Linked DNA regions of Schizosaccharomyces pombe. Each later gene encodes a partner of the first gene's protein in a complex. Each region holds a gene or a part of one and is shown in the gene's direction. Other genes may lie near its edges.

Region 1 (6,742 bases):
ATCATTGTCGCCGCGAAACAGCTCAGTAAGTAACCGCCAAAAGTTCACAATAGCGCGAGGAGCAATATCTTTCGCATCAGCATCTTCCTCCAACTTTTTCTCGTATATTTGTTTCAAAATAAGCTCTAAGTGACGAACTTGCTCGAGTAGCCGTTCACCAGCGTTCATTTGTACTGCATCTAGGACAGATGGTTCACGAATTGAATTACCCATTGATTGAGCAATTTCCAGTATACGGCTCATACGCTCTACAAGCTGCTCAATTTCCTCATTGTTCATTATTTCTTCATCTCGAAATCCAGTTGCGCTCTCATCAGCGGTGATGGCAGAAACCGGTGAAGATACCTTGCTACAGCTACCTGGTTTAAGCTCAGCAATGCACACAGCAACCATATGCTTCAATAGGTGCATATAAAATTCTGCAAGTTTCCTTTCAATAAGCCATATCTTAGAAGAAAGTTCTCTAACTCTACGAGAACATTGTTCGTAATGCTCTATCGTACTTTGTTTATGTTTTCCTTTTTTCTCCTTAGCTTGGGCAACCATCAAATTCTTAGCAGCTTCTCTAATTTTGGCTTCGACAGCCAGTTTTTTTATAGAAACACCAAGTAATCCCTGCAGGTTTTTTATTTTCTGTTTTATTTCTTCAACGTCTTTTCCGGAAAGGTACACCCAACCTTTTGCATCTTTAACAGCAGACGCAACTAAAAGGGTTCGCATTTCCTCCTCACCTGTAGATATAGACACATCTTCAGAACTGCTAGCCTTTCCTACATACACGAAAGTGGATAAAAATGGATTGACTGGTCGTGTATTAATTAATATGCTTGAAGAAGGTGGTTCAGGATTCCCATATTTCTCAATTAACTCAGGTTCATATTCATCTGTACTTAAACATCCATGAAACCCCATTTTTGGGTAAAATGGGTAAATGTAAATGTTGAATCTTTTGTTTGTTTACAGCCGCATACGCTTTATTTTGTATGAATTTCGTTTCCATGACAACTAACATTGAAATGTAAATAAACAAAGCACCTAAGCCAACCTATTATCACGTTGCAATGATCGGTCGCTAAGCATTTCATTCTCCAGATTATACGACTATTAAAGTCCCTTTGCAATTTTAGGTTTGTGTATCGGTGGGCTCTGCTGTTTGTTATTTATCGACGTTGAACCGGTATTTTGATCAACATTCATTATGGTGTTTGCAAATAATCCACATTACTTTTTATATGTTAAAAGATTATTTAGAGCATACTTTAACGGTCCTACACTTACATTTATTACCCTATGTGACGAATTCGACCTACACATTTTTACTTAGACCACCTCAAAAAAAGTGATAATATTTTCAAGTATTAATAAGTCAATATTTAGTATATTCGTAAAAACTTTTGTCAAGTTCGTATAGGTTTGTAAATAATGAATGTGCAGATGAAACAAAATTTCGCTTAAAAGGTACACTACCATCCTAGAAGAGATTCCTAGGAACCTCAACACTGAATGGTCGATAACATGTGATAGAAAATTATGTGACAGTACGTTTAAACTTGGTAAAGTAAAGCCTCGTTATCATCAAATGCGACTTTGTTCAAAAACCCTTTTCGTTGTACAGTGCCCAATTCTGGAATGTGCTCAACAGACTTTGCATAATCTAATAAACTATACTGTTTATCGAGATGAACCAAATGTGGAAATAAATAGCCTACAATTTCTAGGTGATGCATGATAAAAAGCCAGTTTTGAGCTGTACGACTAGGTGCTGTGTTTAACAACTTAATAGTGTTTAGGTCATAAGTTGTTAATTCACGATCCACAGACAAAAACGTTTCAGCAGTTGAAGTTTGAACGCAAACAAGGTCAGGGAAACGTTGTACGCAGTGGAAACTAGATATTGGCATAACCAGCAACTTCGGATGACCGATTTTTGAAAAAATAACTTGCTTCTTCCAAAGGGCAAGGTTGGGGTCTAACTCTAAACTAGCAGAAAACTCCGCTAAGTACTTCCAGAGTAGATCTTGTTGTTGATGAGGAAATGAATCGAAATGATCTAGTTCACAAAGGAATTTGCATGGGTTGCTGAGAAGCTCGTTTGTATAATTAGTTTTTTCCTCTTCAGACCAAAAGAAATCAGCTTCCCTTGTCTTTGCTAAGGAGCTTAGCATGATATACCGCTGCTTATGTGCTTCTTTGGGTAAGATCAATGAAATAAGTTTTGTGCTGAAGTAGGATAATTCCCTAATGCTAATGGAATTTTGTTCTTCCTTTTCATTTTCATTTTCAGGATCGTTCAGTTGAATGAAAGATTGCCCAGTATGTTCACTGTCGAAACATAGTAGCAATCGGAGTAAACGTTCTTCTCTACAGCAACGAAAATCCCAACGTGACGAGACCCCTTTAAATTGAAGGACACTAAGTTCCTTTTCTGTATGTTCATAATTGCGTAATTGCAGGATATCGCTTTCATCAAACATAAAGCAATACTCCGCTCTTAACGTGTGTCCAATAACTAGGTTTTCATCATTAGCCAGCAACCCGTATTCATCCAAAATTTGCTTTCTTTCAAATTCATTACCCAGAGAATAGTATGGAGTTCCCAAATCAGTCATAAAGGTCAAGTTGTCATGAGGTTCCGTTCCTTCATTTTCCTCAATACTCTCTAAAGTCGGCACTTTCTTTTGACATTTACTCTTCTTGAACTCTAGAAGGTATTGAGAATATCCGGCGGGATCATCATTTTGTTCTTTTTCGGAAATTTCAACTGTTTCTACTTTTTGATTTGACAATTCTCCATTGTCAACATAAACAGATTCTGTTTCAACAGGATCACTATCAGGAGATAGGCGCTCTTTTCTATTTTCTTCATCGACTGATGAAATGGCTCGAAGGGCCAGAACACGCGGTCCATCTGGAAGACGTTTCTCATGTTTAACGACAAAGCCAGAGTTGGGAGATCCCATCAAAAACTTCCTAACAGAAATCAAAAATTTAGGATCATATCCATCAGTATTTGTTTCCAAGTCGGTTAATACCAAGTTGCTATTGACCTCCTCAGAGCTTCCAATAACCTTCAAAAGTGGAACATATGATGGAGAAGGCGCTAGTGTCTGTAATGAATCCTGCGAGTCATCATGCTCATTAGAAAATCCCAAGTCGGTTGCTTTAACCCCTAATTTATGAAAAATTTTCTTGGCAAGTGCTCCCATTTCTTGCTGTATATTTTCTAAAGATATTTTGCTTTTAGTTGAGTCAATCGTTTCTTTTTCAGAGACATTGTCAGAAAACTCCTGCTGGACTTCCTTTTCAATGTTAGTTTCATAGATGGGATGCATAGTCGTAGTATTATCAGGGTTCGTCAACTCCATATTTACTATACTATCTGAAACAATATTCTCTCCAAAGATACTACTCATTTTGGATCTTGAGGATGCTGGCAAAAGACAAGTTGAATGTTTGTTTACTATGGATCATTTGATCATTGCAGTCTGCATTTAGTCCACTGAGGAAAGTAAACAAAACTTTAAAATTCATATTTATTACTCAACAATGATTGTATTAGTATTATCTTGAACTTACAAAAATCTCACTGTATATTGCCAATTTAACTTGTTTACTTTACGAAACATCGCTAATAATGGACGCTAGTATACCTACACCTCAGTTGCAGTTCGCCATAAATTTCACCATTGAGAGTTTCTATACTAAGAAATAATATTTTCAAAGTTTTTATGAGTATTAGATGTCATTCTTATGAACAATTTGGAACAGTATGCAGTAAACTTGTCGCGACTGTAGATAAACATTCTCTAACAAAAGAATTAGATTAGAACGATTGGAACAATCGATTACTCTAGCACTTTACGAAATTGATGCAAATTTTTCTAAATGTCATCGAACAGTGACTACCAAAATCTTGCCTATCGTGGAAAAATACGCAAAAAATTGTAACACTATATGGGACTCTTCAAAAGTATGTTCAATGGCAACTGCCACTCATGATTCAGCTTGTAATTTGTATTATTTTAAGAATTAAGCTAACAGAAAACAGTTTTGGAAGCAGTTTTTTGAAGCAAGTGCCAATGTTTCACTTTCGGGTGTAGAGGAACCTGTTCCAGTAGAATCCAATCCAAGCGATCAAGATGTTATGTCTAATTCTACAGAGGCGGACCTACAGCTGCACACAAAGAATGAACATTTGGAAAAGAGGCATTCTTTTGTCGGAAAATCTGATTTTCCCGATGCAGCTGTACAAGGAGATAATACAAAAAACGAGGATTTTGTACAGTCCACTCCTAAGAAGATGGATGTCTCCTTAGAGGATATTTCGTTAGATGATGCAGCTTTGACCCCCATCCCGGCAAGGATGCAGACTCCGCTAAGAAAACCAGAAAATAATCCTCATACAGGTCGTAGTGCCCTTCTGCATCGCGTTTTAGATACAAATTGGCAAGTACAAGTGACTCCACGTGAGCCTAAGAATTTGCAATCTCAAGAAGTAATGGATATTGATTCTTCTCCTTTTGTATCGCCTTCTCCCATATCAATGAAAATGGACATGCCTTCACTTAACGATAGAAACTCTTCGCATGCTCTTTCTTTATTTGCAGAATTTGAGCATGAAAGCTATGATAGCATTAACCCAAGTGGAATGTCTCCACCTAAAACTATCCAATTCAGCCCGCATACCATGGGGGTGGGTTCTTCTCAGCAAGCCAACGAGCGAAGCCTGTCTTTGCAGAGGAAATTAGAAACCTTGAATGATTCTAATGATAGTTTTGTCAAAGAAGAAGATAGTTGGGAACTCTGATAAAGCACTGCTGAAGTTATCACCTTCGTTTCGCCTTTAGTAGTGAACCTTACTTTCGCATTTTTTCTATTTATTTTCTAAGCACATATGTCTACTTCATAAAATCCCACCTTATATTTATGTTATATAATTTTTTATTTACTGTACGTTCTATTTAATTTGGAAAATTCTTCTTTTAAGAGAATCATAAGTCACGGTATAAATACTGTAAACCAAGTAAAATTTGTATGAAAATAATTTTAAAATAAACTAAGAAAGCAAATAACTATAAAATTTTTAAATAAATTAGTATTATAGCCTAATTAATAAATCTTTTTACAGCATATCATTGAGAATATACGTTAAGACGAATAACGAGGTTTTAAAAATTCTAAAAAAGTCTAAAGAATTTTAGTGACTTGGTTAATAATAGTTTGCCTGGTTGAGCAGACAGGTGAACTTAGTATCCACCACTCTTTTTTGTGCAAGGAAAATGGGGTTTGACGTTGCAGGCTATTTACAATCATATTCATTGAAGGACTGGATTCGAATTATCGTATATGTTGGAGGATATATGTTAATCCGGCCATATTTGATGAAGTTGGGAGCCAAGATACAGGAGAGAGAACATAGAAAATCTTTATTAGAAGGCGAAGTAGATGGTACTTTAGATCCGGAAATGACGCATGGCACGAAGCCCAAAGAACATGGAGAATTTGACACGGATGATGAGGAAGAAGAAGAAAATCCTGATGCCGAATTCCGTTGGGGTTATTCAGCACGCCGCCGTATTCGCAAACAACGTGAAGAATACTTTAAGAATCAAGACAAATCTCCTCTTGATGCTTACGCTGATGATGATGAAGACATCGAAGAGCACCTTGAGGATTAATTCTAGTTGTGAGATAATATTCATTACTCCAAGCACTTTAGAAAACTTGTGTCATTTAGTTTGTTAATCATTGTTTTAATTTCTTTGTGAAAATTTGATATCCTTTTCTCTTGAAACCGTGACTGCATGGATGAAAGCAAAAGCTAATTAATTGAATGTAGGATTAATAATGCAATTTGAGAGTGCATTCTTTTCCTACGAGATCAACGAAAGTCCTTTGATTGTTTCTCCTTTTTCTTGCATTTTTAAGTCATAATATCTTTTCGTGAGCCAAGCTTTAATCAATCCCCTGTTAGGTTTAATTTCAGCGTTTAGATCAATTTATTTTTCTTTCCCACTCATTCCAGTATTTTGAGTTGAAATATTACGTATTCTAAATAATCCTTAAATGCTCTAACAAAATTTAAGTATTTGCGGTAATATTACGATAAACGCTATTAACGCATGCATATGGGTTCAAATTTGCTTATTTTGAGCTTGACATGTTACGTTTCGGGGTGGGCTCTTACCGTCCATGTTTCGATCATTTGGACGTTTGTTTAGGGGCTCTGAAGAGAGCCCTACTATCAATGATTTGACTTCAATAACCATTTATCCTCAATGTTTCATTAGTACTGGTAAAGAGTACGGTAGTGAACCCAAGCACATATCAGTTCATGTTCGCGGTTGGGTTTACGAGAACCCTGATCTCAATAATCTTGGTCGTAAAGATCGTTTAATGTTGAATTTACTTCGTAGATATGTCGGTCTGCCTCCAAAATCCAAAGAAACGGGAACATATCCTGAAAAGGATGACGAAAACACAAATTTGCAGGTTGTAGTAGACACGAAAGCTCAATTGAACGTGAACGTGAATGATGGAAAGCCTAATGATATTGAATTATCATCAACCTCTAAAACTGAGAATGATCCACCTTTGTCCCTGCATACGACTCCCGACGACTTACAGGGAAATGGCGTGAATGTACCTAACCCTTCATTGTCTGCCTCAAGGAGTTGGTATCAATCGGGGTATGGAATATCAGGATTTTTTAATCGAATTATGACTCCTTCGGTAAATTCTC
Region 2 (6,358 bases), on another chromosome or scaffold:
TTTAAAACTCATAAAATAAATTCTTTAGTAAACAAAACACCATCGGACAAAACAAATATCAAAAATTAAGAAAAAGTATGCCAACAAGACAAATATGGTAATGTAGCATTTATGACGAAGAAATGAGTGCGGACTTCTTTAACTTTTCAAAATAGGTAGAAAGGGATGTTCTAAAAGTTGCTGGTAACCAAGCACCATTACAAATACATAGCACTTTCAAATTTCGATGGTATGTCAAATCTGGTAATAACTTTGGAGTGACTAAGAAGTATTGTGAAACAGCGTTGTCACACACTGAATTGACGATATGCCTATGCACAACTCGTTCATTTCGAGGATCCATTCCTTGATTTATTTCATCAACTATTCGAAACGGAGCAATTGCCAAACCTTGTAAAGATAATAAATACATTATAGTAGATACAGAACGTTCTCCACCAGATTGTCGTTGACCCGTAAGTTTTTGAAGTCCTTCTTCCTCTCGAAATTGTACTAAAATATCGATATACCATTTATCATAATCGTCGGATTTCCCTAGTCGAACTTCTCCAGCATATCCCATTCCACTCATTCCTTTAGAAAATCTATCGCTAATACATTGAACATTCTCCTCTAACTTACTAACCCAATCCTCTTTGATTGAGTTCATCTCGTCTTGGAGCTCTTCAACGGATTGATCAAAGTCTGACATTTTCGATTCTAGTTCCTCAATTTCTTTTTTACGCGCATCATATTGTTCCATAACGTAACTATTAACATTCATAAACTTCAGTTTCGTTTCTTCGATGCTAATTTTGTTATCCACTTCCGAACTAGTAGCAAATTCTTCATTTAATTCAGTTATTGCCGTTTGTCTGTCAGATGATTGTGTCTGCAATGAATCAACCACTGAACCGTACAAGGACATAGCATCCTCCCTTGCTGAGGCTAACTTATCGGTAATATCTTTAAGACGATCTTGTACTTCTGTCAATCGAGCGTTGACTTGGTTGGCATCCATCTCGTGTTTTTCAAGTTTGTATTTCGCTTCTATGACATTAAGTCTACTTCCCAACATCTTCTCGAAATTATTCGTAGCTTTAATTGAATTCTCCTTAACTTTTAACACCGAATTCATAAGAGCTTCGAAGTTCTCTTTCCTGATATCTTCATTTTTTTCAATTTCAGCTGCAAATTGCTCAGGAACTTTCTCTCTTTGTCTTAGTAGAAGAGTTTGGTGTTCTATTCTTTCTTGTAATTGTTGCCATTCGTGAATAGGAATTAATTTTTCGTCACGCTCTTTTCGTAGAGTAGATAATATATCGTTTGTACGAGAAAGCAGCGATTCGTGCTCATTTACCTTTTCTTGTAACTTTCTTTCCTCATTCTGTAAATTTTCCAATTGAGAGAGTTGAGCATTTAGTTGCTCCTCCTTTCGCTTTACCAAATCCATCTCAACGTTCTCGGAAAAATATATACTGCGAGAAGGTAATGGGTCTGTTCGCCTAGTAATTTCTCTATCACCGTAAGCTGAACGAAAAACCAAGTGGATAGATGAGCCCGCCAAGTAAGTTTTAAGAACTGGATCCCCGTTAGCCAGACGAAAATTGTTTAACGCATTCACTGATGCGGGAGGTAGTTCCCTTTTTGCAATCGGAATTTGATGAATTTTTAACATATGGCACAAAGCAACCAAAACCACTTCTGGCCCCTCTAAAAAATCGATCACATATCCGTCAAACCCGAAAGACTGAAGCTTCTCACGAGAGCATGGAGGTTCAAAATCTTCTATCTTCTTTTTTCGTTCACTGGAGAATTCTCTTATAGTAGGAGTGTACTTAGTTTTTGAAGTGATAAGATCCATTAACTTTAGATAATCATTATAATTTGACATTATAAATGTTCGAAACGTATCCGTGCGAAAAAACCCTTCTATCAAAGCTGCAAACCCTTTTTCCTTACATTTCAAATTCATATAAATTGGGCCGTATGCGGGTGCTTCAAACGCAGATTCGTATTCCTTCAATAACTGATACGTCTGATAAGCATCTTCCCAGCCTGGAGCAGAAGACATAAAGTCTAGTTTCCTTTTCGTAGCATCGTTGTAGTAGGACAACTCTCTTTTAATGTTATCAAGGTCAATAAGCTTTTGTGCTTTCAATGTTCTGATACTACCTAGTTCATGAGAGCTCTCAAGTTTCTCGTTTTCATGTTGAAGTTTTTCCGCATTAACTTCTTGCATCTTTTCTTGTAGATCTTGAACACCGTTATCCGAAGGTCTTGGGCCTTGTCTTTCTGTTAATGACTTCACCGATTGTTGTGCTTCATTTAATGTAAGATTTGCATTCCGTAAAAGTGTTCGATTGGTATTAACCTTCTCATAAAGCTTTTTCTCGTTCTCCATGAAATTCGAAAAAGAAGCTCTGGCTCTTAAATTTGAGGTATTAAGTTCCATCGAAGCGGAGGAGTAATCGTTAAATGTATCATCTTTTAGTTTTAAATCCGAACGCAGCTCTTCACCTTTATCCAAAATAGGTTGAAATTCTTCCACTAGGTCTTTCAAATCCTTTTTTAATTTTTTTTTGTCTGCACGAAGTTGGTTAAAGACATTGGTTTTCTCTCTGTATATAACTAACATTTTAGCTAACCCTAGCATTTCGATGTATGATTTGATTTTTTCCCGTTCTTTAAATATATTGACTTCCTTCTCTAGTGCCTGTTGTCTATCTTTTAATGAATTTAATGTTGATTGTCCTTGGTTTTTATTTTGTAAAATTTCCCTTTCTCGTTTTCGTAAATCAATAAGCTTCTCATGTGCGGGAAGTAACCCTTCATGGTCAATTGCACGCTCAGTTTCCATCAGTCTAGAATAAGGATCAAGCTGAGCGAATTCTGCAACACGGTCTTGTGGTAAAAAATGACAAAGATTATTCAATTGTACATTGAAAGTATCCATTAGAGACGTTATTGAAGAAGTGGCACATGCTTCCCTATTAATAGAGAAAGAACTACTCTTATCCTGGCTTATTTGTCTCGTGATAGTAACCGTTTCATCGTCACGATACTTCATTTCAATTTCTATGGTTGCAGTGTTTTTGCCATACTTTATAAATTCACGGGCCTCTTTAGCTCTCCCAAGTAGCTAAATCGTTAATCAATTAAGTTATTTTTTATAATATTGAAAGACTTACTTTTGGGGGCCATCCCAGCCCAATGCATATTGCTGAAACAATTGTGCTCTTACCTGTCCCATTTGGACCGATAATCAAATTTAGATATGGACCAGGGAACAGTTCACAATAATCGTATGTAACAAAGTTCACTAATTTAATTCGTACAATACTTCCTAACGCGTAACTCTCGCGTGTTAAGATCATCGAAGTATAAAAAGCAGAAATACTAAATAGAAAAAAGCTATAACTTACTCTGAATACAAAGGATTACTTTTTCTTCGTTTCGAAGGCCTAAGGCCATCCATGGTGGAAGTAAGGAGGATTTCAGTCAACTAGGAGTTTGCTGAGAGCAAAGTGCTTATGCAAGGCAAGGTACAATGAGTTTAGAGGAAAAAAGAGCTCTCCAGAATCAAATTTTAGCTGAATATGCTAATCTTGCATCAAATTTAGAAACAGTAAGTCTTTTTTATTCAGCAGTTGGTTAATATTTAGCTTGTTAAGGTGTTACAGGACATGGTTTATAATCCCAGCAACAATATTCTGGACTCGCTAAGGGATTTAGAAAAGGAGGTTGGACTTGTATATACTCTTTACAAAGCTAGTGTTTGGGCGATTTTGGCAGACCTAGAAAATAACCAAGAAGGTAAAAGCGGCATGTTTCAAGATGAAAGTTGATAACGTGCTTGTTTGAAATTGAAAATACGTCAAACCGAACTATAAATTAAGCTTTAACTCTACTGTTGGTGCTTTTCGTGTGGTTTACTATGAATATTTGGAACTGAATATTTACCGGATAATTTTTCAATCACTTTTACAGAGAAAAAAATACATCCTACTTGGAAGAGTAAAAACAGGCACAAGATATAAGCTTATGAAGGTTTTTAAAAAGCACTTTTCGGCTAAAATGTCCAAGAAACGAATATGGGTATTGTTTTTAAAAAGTTGGTTAGATCACTTTTAATCAATTATCCAAAACAACCCTTTGGAAGTAGTCCGGCCTTAAATATTTCTAAACTATTACCCCGGAAACACTGACCTAATGAATCTTCCGATTAATTGCCTGTTAACATTTTATTAGATCATGCTGGATTCGAAAGTGTTTTCAAGCTTTCCTAAAAGCGTTATGAAAATGGGGTTGCATGAGAATCTGCAATGTTGTAAGCTGTTGATTTCTTAATCAAATAATAAGTTTCCTTCCTTGTTTTTTTCTAACCGTAATGGTTATTCATACTCAAATTTCTTCGTTATGAAGAGCAACTTACAATTGGGACTCGTTTTTGTCCTCGGATCATTAAAGTGAATACAGCGAGAAATTTTCTTCTGCTTGCATTTGACTAAAAATCATTTAAATGCCAGCAACTCTCTTCGAGATTGAAATCCAAAGTTTCTTCTGTTTGTACTAATATGGATTCTCATAATTTACTATATTTGATAAGCAATGAGGTTCATATTTTATTAATATACTTAATAGTGTCAAGCCCAATCCTTCAAAATATTGGCAAGTGTATGTTTTGGCATTACCAAATGACTTTGGTTTATAGTGGTATAACGTAATAATAATGGGTATTGTCTTTATACCGTTATAGACACTGCTTTTACGTTTTGATAGGCGCGTCTTACAAAGTATATATATATTTATTGCTTACGCGCATCACCGTTTTGCAAAGTGTATATAAAAAAAAGCAAGAACTATGGACTTTTTATCACATGCCATGCTTAGTCGATCTGAATCAACGCAAATTCTTTGTGAATTGAGTCAAATAGACGAAAGTACTATGGATCCTCAATATACTGAAGATGATGTTCTCGCTCGATTGTTTGTTTTTTCATCATCTTCTCCACAAACAGGTGTGTTCTCTTGTTTCAATTGATTTTTGACATATATTAGTACTGAATGTTAAGAAATATGAAGACGTTTCTGTTGGAAGGAGTAATACATGCAATTATCAGCTTCTGCAATTCACTGCCAGTTATAAGCACTTTAGAGTGTATTCGGTGCTAATCGATGATGATATGGATCCCCTTGTTTATTGTGAAGATCAGAGCTCTAATGGAACATTCTTAAATCATCGTTTAATTGGTAAAGGCAATAGCGTCCTTTTATCGGATGGAGATATACTCGATGTTCGGCACTGCGCTTCCTTTCTTTTCCAGCAGAAATACACTACTGATAATGATTTTCATCACGAGTATGCGGGTGAGAGATTTAACATCACTCAAAGACTATTGGGAATTGGTGGCTTCTCGCGCATTTACATGGCAATGGATAATAACACTGGGGGACAATACGCGTGTAAAATCATCGACAAGAAAAAAATCTCAACGAAACGGTTTTTCGAGGACCACGAGATGACAATTCTTAGGAAACTTGATCATCCTAACATTATCAAAGTAAACATGGAGTATAATTCGGAAACTCAGTTGTAAGTAGATTGAATGCGGTTTGTTATTTTGATGATTAATATTCCTTAGTTTTATATTTGAGGAAATGGTGACGGGAGGAGATTTGTTCAGTTATTTAACGAAATTGGGAACGGTTCCTGAAGTTACCACTTTATTTATTATGTTTCAAATTCTACAAGGGCTAAAATATTTACATGAGCAGAATATAATTCACAGGGATTTAAAACTTGAAAATATTCTCATTGCGTCGTCCTCTGATACCATTTTTAGAATCATTTTAACCGATTTTGGTGTTGCAAGATGTATGCAGAAGGGAAAAAGACTTTCGACTTTCGTAGGCACTCCGGAATATACCGCCCCGGAAATCCAAAGATTAAAAGGAAGGTCTCAAGTGGAAAAGGAAAATTCTTCTGGTTACGGTAAAGAGGTCGATTTATGGAGCCTTGGAGTAATTATGTTTTTGCTGTTGTCAGGTAATTCACCATCATTTGCAGATGGAGTGAAAGAAAAACAAGTGGATTTTCGAGATCCTGTTTGGAAATCCGTCTCCAGGCAAGCCAAAGATCTGATATCAAATCTTTTAAAAACGAATCCCCCAGATCGGTTCACAGTCAAACAATGTCTTTCCCATCCCTGGTTCGCGCGACATAGTAGTCGTCTCACCAAATTATATGAAACTCGTATTCTCAAACCTCTTAAACATTCCCGGCTATAGCCACGTAAGAAAATATTCGATAAACTTGATAAAACGATCGAAGTTTCTCCACATAAAAGCTATGTGTCTGAACTATGTAATTCTAACA
Region 3 (3,383 bases), on another chromosome or scaffold:
ATCATTGCTCAATTAGTGCACCTATGGTTTAACGAGTTGAAAATTTGACCGCTAAATTAGAATATTGAATTCTCGCTCGGCTTCTTATTCTTAAAATTTTAGAGTCATACCTTACCAAGTACAGCAGTAGTAAGCAGTCACAACTTAACAAAAGAAATATGAATTTCGAAAAACATTTCTAAGCACAACCAAAATGCAAATTTTCGTCAAAACCCTTACGGGTAAGACGATTACCCTTGAGGTGGAGTCCTCTGACACTATTGATAATGTCAAGAGCAAAATCCAAGACAAAGAAGGAATTCCTCCTGATCAACAACGTCTTATTTTCGCTGGTAAGCAGTTAGAAGATGGACGTACTTTGTCTGATTACAACATCCAAAAGGAGTCCACTCTTCACCTCGTTTTGCGTCTTCGTGGTGGTGGTAAGAAGCGTAAAAAGAAGACTTACACTACTCCCAAGAAGATCAAGCACAAGCACAAGAAGGTTGAGCTCGCCGTCCTCAAGTACTACAAGGTTGAGGATGATGGAAGCGTTAAGCGTCTTCGTCGTGAGTGTCCTAACTGTGGTGCATCCACCTTCATGGCCAACCACAAGGACCGCCTTTACTGTGGTAGATGCCACTTGACCCTCAAATTGGAAGCTTAAATGAGTTTGCGATAAAATAAATTAACACTTTTTTAAGTGATATTTTGTAATATATCTATATTGCTCATTGTAATGTGCTATATTGAATTGAAAATACTTATATTGTAAATGGTTATGAAAACATTTCATTTGTATTATATTTCTAGTAGTCCCATGATGATTTTTTTAAATAAATAATCTAAACATAAGCCAAACTAAACAAGCAAGCTACGGTTGAATGATTGGTGGAATTTTCAACAGTTTTTATATGCGCAAACGCGATTATTGAAAACGCCATTGAGGAATCATGAGTATTTCGAGGACATTAGATCTAAACTCAAGTTTTTAGTAAAAGGTAGTAAATATAGGAAGATGCATTCTTTTATTAATAAAAGAATAAAAAGAATTGAGTCGTAAAACATAGCGTTTAGATTGAGTAAATTTAAACATTACCAATCCATTTCAGTCGGTCGTAAACGGTTCTCGCTCGTATATATTTGTCAACATTCCAATAGCAGTTGGCAAAGTTGGTACCTGCAGCATCGCAGCATAAGCGGACTTTTTCATTTTGAGCATCATCATCATCTAGCTTGGCCCAATTTAAAGAGTGCTGCTCCCATTCACTGAAATACGCATAATAGCGAGCAAGTGCTGCAGTCTTTTCAGCGCTATCTTCGATGACTGCATCATTCTCATGCTCTACTGGCTCTATGTATTGGAATATCTTTTTGTTGCCTCCTCCTAAAGAAGTAGGAATTACCGAATAGTCTATGTATTTTTCGAGGTCGTTTGCGCTCTGAGTAAAAACAATTTTCGCAGCAATCTCTGGTTTAATCCATCCCTTAATAATGTTCCAAACACTTCTGAAAATCCAAGGAGATTTATGAAGAATACAAACACCAAGAGATTGTGGGTAATAATACTCCAAACACGATGCCAAATACTTAACGAAAGAATAATCCATATTATGTAGAGAAAAGTTACTAAGGTCGAACAGAACATTCACATTTTGAGGAGAGTCCATAGAGTCCTTCAAAGTCTTTTGTGGTCGCAGAAAAAGTCGCATAGTTTCCATTACCCACACGGTCATCTCACGAAGAGAATTCTGAGTCAATTTTGAGGGTTGATGTAAATGGACTTGAATATAGCAGATAGGGCGATCAGATAAGTCCCTTCCCAACATAGTTACCTTTCCAGTTCTCAATTGTTCCAAGAACTGATCATCATTTGTCTCTTTGGCATAAAGCTCACCCCGCTCAACGATACGCTCAACACCTGTATCTACGCGCCATTGTAGCGTATTGATTAACTTTTGACTTGCTTCATGTGAATCGTTATTGCAAGAAGCCAAAAATCGTACTAAGATAGCGTCGGGTGAGTCGCATTTTGCTAATCGTATGAACGATTCGCGATATTCTTTATGCTCTTGAAACCTAGGCCATGTCTTTTGAATCATCAACTTTAAAGGTGAATAACTTTCAAAGCTCACTTTTTCGTCTACAGTCTCAGGCTCAGGCTGTTTTTGAGAACGTCGGAAGAAAAATGTTCCTGCTGCTGCTGCCGAAAGCGCTGTAGAACATCTACATCTCACCCAAAGTCGCGAAAACATGGAGAAATACCAGAAAGCTACTCAAAATCCTTTAGAAAATGTTGATAATGTGAAAATAGAAAGTGAGAATGCAATCCCTTCGAATCTCCAAGCCTTTACTAAGTCACTGGCTGTTTTGGATGATAATGTGAGTGAATTTCGTAAACGAATGAATCACCTGTCAGCAACCAAACAAATACTCGACAATTTCAACGAATCGTTTTCTTCTTTTCTTTATGGATTGCAAATCAATGCTTTTTGCGTAGATTATGAAAATGCACCGCTTTCGGAAAGTTTTTTACTCCAAGCTAAGAAAGACCAATTTAAGGCAACGCTGATGACTCGTACTGGTCATTCGATTTCTGACCCTCCCTACGATGGTGGTGTTATTTCTCACGATCCCAATTTTGCAACTGCAGACGAAACATTTGCTACAAATGACACTTCTTTCATTGAACGGCCAGAAACCTATTCCGCTTCCAGATAAATTTATTTAAGCAAGGGAGACTGGTTGAAGTTTTTTCTTTTTCATTTATTATTATAATAGTCGAAGGGAATAACCTAGCATATCAGGTTGGATAATGAAACAACGGAATCATAATGATCATTCAATTTTACGATTTATATACAATTTTTAACATTTTAATGCACATTTTTCTTCAGCGAAGTGAACTGTAGACAATTGCTTTAAAAGTTCTAGAAAGCGTTCAGTAAACTCATATGTAATAGCTTCTCCAATCTTCAATTTCCAATAAAATGAATATGTATTTGTAGTCTATTTTCGATACTCACATTTACAACTTCAGTGGCTCTTTCAATACCTCAAATATGTAACACTAATTGAACCTATTTGAAGTGTCGAAATTTGTTCACATTCTATATTTGTAATTTTAAACATTGGAGCAATTACACTTGTTTTCAAGTATACAACTAGTTTTCGTTTTACTTCAAAATGCATTTCTTTGTTCGGAAGTACCGCGGCAAAGCAGCGTATGTAAGTGTATAGCCGCGGGTCATTCCACTTGTCTCAAGCCAGTCATTAGAACAATATACGTATCGGCCAATTGTGCTGAAAATGGTATCGAATATGTCTCGCTTACTATTTTGTGGATTTAACCAGGATTCAAAGTACTTATTTTATTGTTTTTGATATCAACATCACTAATACTT
Region 4 (6,605 bases), on another chromosome or scaffold:
TGGATTATACGAAAAATGAACGTTATCGAATTGAATAGATCCGCCTTTAAGAACCAAATCTCGAGCATCTGGCGCCTCCTTCACTTGGATATTAATGCGCTTTAAAGAAAACAATTGCTCCATATCAGTAAAAGCCTGTCTCATTTCGCGATAGACAGATCCAAGGAAGTTAAGAGGAATTGACAACTGAAATACTAATTGGTTAATCATGACAAGGTCACCTACAGTAAGGTTGGAAGTTACAATTCCACGACAACCCATGTACATCATCAAAGTAAGAGCGGTAGAGAATATAATAGCCTGTCCTGAATTCAAAAAGGCCAAAGAAGATGCTACCTTAACGTTGGCTTTTTCGTAGGCGGAAAGATGCTTTTCATATCTGCTCATTTCGTATGATTCGTTATTAAAAGTTTTAACGGCTTCATAATTAATCAGAGATTCAATTGCCGCGGCTGATGCTTTACTGTCAGCAGCATTTGCTTGACGACGGAATACAGTTCTCCAGGATGTCGTCCTAACAGTAAAAAGAGCATAAAGAGCAACGGTTGTAGCAGCAATGGCCGAAAACGAAGGTCCGTACTTGTAAGTGAGAATACCACTCACCATAGCAATTTCAAGGGTAATAGGAATGATGTGTAACACCATGGAGGAAAGAATGAAACTAATACCTTTTGTACCACGATCCATTGCTCTAGTAATACTTCCTGTTTGCTTTGAGAGATGAAAATTCATGTCAAGGTTCAACAGATGTTGATAGACATTGCTAGAAACACTTCGAATAGCGCTTTGCGACACAATTGCAAAAACGCTATTCCTTAACTCTTGAAAAACGGTAGAAAATATTCTAGCAAAGCCATAACCGAGAACAACAGCTCCTACAGTAGACCACAATGCTCCTACTTCTTGAACAAGTGTTGTATTCATGGTATCGATAATTGATTTAAAGTAAAAAGGAACTTGGACGTTAAGAATTTTGGCAGCTACAAGTAGTGCGAGAGCCGAAACAACTCTAACTTTCAAATTAGTCTTCCCCTTGGGCCAAATATATTGAAGCATGTCCTTAACAATCATTTGTCCTGTTACATTTTTATCATCTGGTACATCGGAAGCAAGTTTAACAGAAGTATTCAGTGGCTCTTTTTCTTTTGATTTGTTATTCCATAACGCTTTTGAAGCCGAATTATTTCCATTTCTAAGTGGGAAACATTGCTTAGATGCAAAATTGGAAAACCGCAGTATATGTTGAAGAGGTAATATATTTGACTTTCTTAAAACAAGATAAGTTCCACGAGAATTAAGAAAAGAGCGAGCTGGAATATTTCTTGGCGAGCTGATTAATTTCCAGGGACATCGTTCTAGCATTTTTATTAATACAACACTTTAAGATGTCAGAGCTTCAAGCTGTTAGTTATACCCAATATACTGCTCTTCTATTTAAGATAATTAAAGTTTTTAAATCTATATTTAAATAGAATAAACTTGGCTGATAGAATATGAAAAACAGACGAAACGTTCAGTCAGAAAAACCTCAAATAGCCTCCAAAGAGGCAACTTTTTAATAGATGGTATATATGAATAAAAGAACTAAGAGAAGGATAATTCTCAAACCTTTAGTTCTATAAATCTGGCAGACTTAGAAAGTTGTAGATTTTGATTAGATCACGATTGCGAAGTAGAGTCCAACAATTGCAAACTCATCAAAACTGCACTGAGGATTACGAAATTTTTAGCGTGTATTAACCTTTATAAAAGTTTTACATATAATTATTAATGGATAATCTGAGCTGAAGAAATGTGTGCCTAAAGCGTAAACGTAAGAATGATTCGGTGTAGCAAATAAAGGAAAATAGCAAGGAATGAACGCAATGCTTTACCTTTGTTAAAATAATTTGCTGAGCGAGAACAGAATTTCAAAAACAGGCACAGGTGATTTCCATTATATCAAAGATACCAAACGTTTATTACGTTTTGGTTAAACCACCTGCACACACCCAGAGATTGCATACACTTTTGGCAACTCTGGTAAAGTGAATTGAAACATACCTTTTACTAATTACGAGTCGAATTAGTGTTTTTGATGACTTATTAAATAAATGTCTGATTTGTTGAATTATTTACAGTCTATTGCTGCTACATCAGAAAAACTTTTGGAACCGGAAAACCCAAACGCAGCACGTTTCACAGACGCGGTGCTACATACTCATGCTATAACTGATTTAATTCGCGATACTCAGAAGGAAGAACTAATTGCAGCTGAGTTCAAATCTCTACCGAAGGATTGGAGTGAAAGGTTGGCATCAGAAAACCCTGCAGACTACGTTGCTTGTATTGAGGAACTACTAGATATATATCCTATGCAAGGTGGCCGTGAATATTTGGAGACTCTGGTTGAGAAATACAACTTACATATGTCAGGAATTGAGAATTTGGAAAACGTTTTACTGGAACAGAAAGAGCAATTGCAGCAACTTGAAAAACGACAAACCGATCAGGTGTCTGCTAGGGAGAATATTCTACAGCGTGAAACTTCTGAAATCCAAAGACTTGAAAGAGAAATTGAAAAAGTGAAGCAACTGATACAATCTTAGGAAGGCTATTTGCGTTGGTAGTCAGATCGACTTTTCGTATTGGTGAACATTTAGAAAAGGAGAAGCGAGGTCGTTGTTTTATCATGGATTTGAGCAAAGAACAAGAAATGTATTTAAGCGAGGATATAAAAGACCATGGACTCATTCCTTTGAAGTTACATCCTCAAAGAAGCACCCGAGATATTTCTGATTGCAGTTATCCTTCGACGTCAGATGATCGATCGGCTTACTCCCAATACAAACTGATGAAGCTGAAGAGGAAAAAAAGAAGTCGATGTTTTGATATATCATCCTTTAAAAAGCATATTGAAATGTCGCTTGCTAAGAAAAAAGCAAGTTCGTCTACTGTTACTTTGAAGGCTACAAAAGAGCTAGAGGATTATGAATACCTAGAATATGAAAAACATAAAGAGAAGAGAAGAGAATCTTTGGACTGTTTGCTCCAGGAATTCTCTAAAGCGGCAAAGATATTGAACGAAGATAATTAGCAAACTAAGTACATTACAACTCAGGAGCATAATAACTCATTGTTTTTGTAATATTCTCATTTATAGAATAGTATGTGAAAAATACAATAATGTTCATGATAAGTTAAAGACGGCAATTAGATTACTGGCTCAACGCCAGCTTTTGCATTGGACTCATTTGTTGTAATGAGTTCTTAATATTTATACAAACATAAGTACATACTTGTTCTTAAAAGTTCTAAAAGATTTTATTTAAGATATAAATAAAAGTTCAATAGCATAGTATGATAGCAAGTAATGGAACACTATGTATTTATTCTATATTTGATTATTAATATAGAGTAAAAGTCAGGTTCATAGTGTTTCTATTGACTCGTCAACTATAATTATTTTTTGTTGTTACTGAATGATAGAATTTGAACGAATGTTTTAATTGCTAATACCAAGGCTGCTGCTCCACCTTAACAATCACACATTACGCCAAAAAAATTATTTACTCGATTTCTCAAAAAAAACAATAAAAAAGGATCAATAAGAATACCTTTATTAAGAAAAACTTCTTCTTTGGAAAATTAAAGAATACACTTACTGTTGTTTATTTCAGTGTTTGTTATTGTATTCACAATTATTTATTTGTTTACTTATTACATAAGGCTAGTGGATCACCTTAATCTTTCTAACTACACACACCATAAGAGTACAAAATTTTAGCAAGTATTTTGTATCAATTGAAATGTTTAACTTTACAAGACAGTATAGTGTTAAAGACGGCTTAATAACAGATGAATTGGCCAGTCACATCGTTGAGAACTTGCCAGCAAGATATGCTTCTGCTGAAACTTGGAAACGAATCTATTCGTTGCAACATGACGGCGCATCTCTTCAAACAATGTACTTAGCCTGCGAAAAGGAAAAAGCTCGAAGCGGCCATCCTAAAGGGGCTTGCATTTTAGCTGTGCGCGATACAGACGGCGATGTTTTTGGAGTTTTTATCCCTGATTATTTAATTCCTGCACCTCATTACTTTGGTTCCGAGGAAACCTTCTTGTGGAAATATTTTCCTCCCAAAAAGTATGTACATTACCCTTTCGTAGGAAATTCCAATTTTGTTGCATATTGCACCAAAAGCTTTTTGGCATTTGGTGGGGGTAATGGAAGATACAGCCTTTGGCTTGATGGCTCTCTAGAGTACGCTTACTCTAGTCGTACTCCTGCATTCGAAAACAATCCTTTGAGCTATCGTGGCTGTCCTGACCAACGAATCCAAATCGTGGACATCGAGCTCTGGGTATTGGAGTAATATCAACTAACGAATGAAAAGAAAAAAGAAAATAAAAGATGGACTCGGAAATGTGCATCAGCCCAAGTTTTATATTTATATCAAGATTAATATTTTACCGTGCTTTCTTTATGACTAATTTATTCAACCAAAGACAATTTTATGCTGACTCTATGCATTGATTATTATTCTTAATTCAAGTTAACTCGTTGATTTGCATGTTCAATCAATGAATATCGAGTTTACCAGAAATTCGAGCCGTAGGACTCTTCCCTCCCATTTGTGATGTATAGCTTTCTATCATCAGCTAATTTTTAATACTTCTTCTCAATTCCGGAAGATTACGTTTGTTAATTGATCAAGCATGAATATCCTTGCTATTAATTTCTTTACGCCTTATGCATTGAGTGAACGAATCAAATGAAGAGCATCCCCAATATCTTCTCCCCAATTGTCTATTATTTATTAATTTTCTCTTTTTCTATTCATAACTTTTAATGCTACACTTAGTATATTTATTCACGTGGTTGCTTTTCATCAACAATTCGTATCGTCCCTAATTGACGAATCGATTTCTACCATCCACTTTATATCAGTAATAATAATTATTATGAAGTTTTATTTATTATGTTTCTTTTTGATTACCGTGTAAACACTTGAAACCTGTATTCAAATCTCGATAAACTACCATAAGATTAGTAAAATGTTTGCAACCACTACCCAATTGTAGAAAACAAATTGACAAAATTTACCAACTTAACAGGATAAATCACCGTTTATATCTTCTGTTTATTATGTGGAATTTTTGTGGTTACTTAAATAAAACCACTTTCTTTCGCCAATAAACTATAAAAGAAATGAGCTATGCAAATTTAATATCCTAAATTTAATTACTCTTTGATTATTAACGTCTTTATAAATTCCTTTTTAGTCTCTAGTTGATGAATTGTTTAGAATAATCTTTAAGTTATAAGGCAGTGGAGCACGGCATCCTTAAATGACTGTTTGGGCTTAAATGATATTGAGAAATATGTCTAATCCCTCTACATTGTCGAAATGCCTCCATCCAAAGGGCTGAATGGCAAGCTAGAAAAGCCAAAACACGCTCTGCAAGGTAATGTTTTTGGGATTCAAAAAGTGTTTGTTACTAATTTTTAGCGATTGTTTTGTCGGATTCTTATAATTATCGGTTTCGCCCTCTTACATTAGATAAACCTCGCGTATGCAATTACCAGTGTACACTTTAAGTACTAATATTATTAGTGTCTTCTTCCTTTAGCAAATACCCCTTTAATAGAGTACACTTTTGAGTTTTTGGCATTGGCCGGGGTGCAAGAAGTTTATGTATTTTGCTGTGCCCATGCAGGACAAATTCGAGAATATATAGAGTATGTGCTAAATTGAGGTCTTAAATTCGAATTTCTGATACGATATAACTAACACAATATAACCCACAGAAAGTCAAAGTGGAATCTTCCCTCTTCCCCCTTTAGTGTAAACACGATTGTGTCAAGAGAATCTCTGTCGGTTGGTGATGCTTTAAGAGAGCTCGATTCAAAACAGCTAATTACCTCCGATTTCATACTCGTATCAGGCGATGTGGTATCCAATGTGCCTCTAAACGAAGTTTTGAAAGAACATCGGAAGCGCCGTGAAGATGATAAAAATGCTATTATGACAATGGTTGTACGAGAAGCAAGTCCATTTCATCGTACACGCGCCCGTACAGAGAGTTCTGTTTTCGTGATAGATAAAAAGACCAGCCAATGCGTGCATTATCAAGCTAACGAAAGGGGAAAACATTATGTTTCTATGGATCCCGAAATCTTTAATGAGCATGAAGAGTTGGAGGTTCGAAATGATTTGATTGACTGTCAAATTGACATTTGCTCCAATGATGTACCTGCCCTTTTTACTGAAAACTTTGATTACCAAGACATTCGAAAAGACTTCGTATATGGTGTTTTAACCTCTGATCTTTTAGGAAAAAAGATTCATTGCCATGTTGCTAAAGAAAATTATGCAGCTCGTGTTCGTAGTCTTCAAACTTATGATGCTATTAGCAAAGATGTTCTTTCTCGATGGGTCTATCCTTTTGTTCCCGATAGCAATCTTCTTAACCAAACTTTTAGTTATCAAAGACATCAGATTTATAAGGAAGAAGACGTTGTTCTTGCTCGTTCTTGCATTATTAAGGCACGAACTTTGATCGGTGCCTATACCAAAGTCGGTGATGCGTCTGTGGTTGCGAATACTATCATTGGTAGGAAT

Evidence for each region.
Region 2: ask1 (region 1) and dad3 share a complex: the UniProt entries of both Schizosaccharomyces pombe proteins name them as parts of the DASH complex.
Region 3: ask1 (region 1) and dam1 share a complex: the UniProt entries of both Schizosaccharomyces pombe proteins name them as parts of the DASH complex.
Region 4: ask1 (region 1) and spc34 share a complex: the UniProt entries of both Schizosaccharomyces pombe proteins name them as parts of the DASH complex.

Annotation. Positions count from the first base shown.
Region 1 is NC_003423.3:1,560,573-1,567,314, reverse strand, and holds ask1 (DASH complex subunit Ask1), read left to right. Parts: upstream 1-3,663; 5' UTR 3,664-3,750; coding exon 3,751-3,767; intron 3,768-3,822; coding exon 3,823-3,970; intron 3,971-4,048; coding exon 4,049-4,807; 3' UTR 4,808-4,989; downstream 4,990-6,742. Other genes in the region: septation protein Uds1, read right to left, coding at 1-912; protein meu25, read right to left, coding at 1,545-3,413; protein trafficking protein Pga2, read left to right, coding at 5,280-5,678; app1 (actin cortical patch protein), read left to right, coding at 6,193-6,742. UniProt on the Schizosaccharomyces pombe protein: Component of the DASH complex that connects microtubules with kinetochores and couples microtubule depolymerisation to chromosome movement; it is involved in retrieving kinetochores to the spindle poles before their re-orientation on the spindle in early mitosis and allows microtubule depolymerization to pull chromosomes apart and resist detachment during anaphase.
Region 2 is NC_003424.3:5,226,297-5,232,654, forward strand, and holds dad3 (DASH complex subunit Dad3), read left to right. Parts: upstream 1-3,502; 5' UTR 3,503-3,529; coding exon 3,530-3,607; intron 3,608-3,644; coding exon 3,645-3,827; 3' UTR 3,828-4,604; downstream 4,605-6,358. Other genes in the region: Smc5-6 complex SMC P-loop ATPase subunit Smc5, read right to left, coding at 110-3,121, 3,171-3,336, 3,405-3,457; mek1 (meiosis-specific serine/threonine protein kinase), read left to right, coding at 4,844-5,000, 5,041-5,575, 5,625-6,270. UniProt on the Schizosaccharomyces pombe protein: Component of the DASH complex that connects microtubules with kinetochores and couples microtubule depolymerisation to chromosome movement; it is involved in retrieving kinetochores to the spindle poles before their re-orientation on the spindle in early mitosis and allows microtubule depolymerization to pull chromosomes apart and resist detachment during anaphase.
Region 3 is NC_003424.3:3,105,691-3,109,073, reverse strand, and holds dam1 (DASH complex subunit Dam1), read left to right. Parts: upstream 1-2,232; coding exon 2,233-2,700; 3' UTR 2,701-2,883; downstream 2,884-3,383. Other genes in the region: ubi5 (ubiquitin-40S ribosomal protein S31 fusion protein), read left to right, coding at 194-646; csr101 (sec14 family protein), read right to left, coding at 1,068-2,234; WD repeat-containing protein Atg1801, read left to right, coding at 3,166-3,203. UniProt on the Schizosaccharomyces pombe protein: Component of the DASH complex that connects microtubules with kinetochores and couples microtubule depolymerisation to chromosome movement; it is involved in retrieving kinetochores to the spindle poles before their re-orientation on the spindle in early mitosis and allows microtubule depolymerization to pull chromosomes apart and resist detachment during anaphase.
Region 4 is NC_003424.3:3,670,283-3,676,887, reverse strand, and holds spc34 (DASH complex subunit Spc34), read left to right. Parts: upstream 1-1,993; 5' UTR 1,994-2,093; coding exon 2,094-2,588; 3' UTR 2,589-3,189; downstream 3,190-6,605. Other genes in the region: ABC family Fe transporter Atm1, read right to left, coding at 1-1,362; V-type ATPase inhibitor and disassembly protein in response to oxidative stress Oxr1, read left to right, coding at 3,789-4,355; translation initiation factor eIF2B epsilon subunit tif225, read left to right, coding at 5,391-5,448, 5,493-5,554, 5,598-5,722, 5,792-6,605. UniProt on the Schizosaccharomyces pombe protein: Component of the DASH complex that connects microtubules with kinetochores and couples microtubule depolymerisation to chromosome movement; it is involved in retrieving kinetochores to the spindle poles before their re-orientation on the spindle in early mitosis and allows microtubule depolymerization to pull chromosomes apart and resist detachment during anaphase.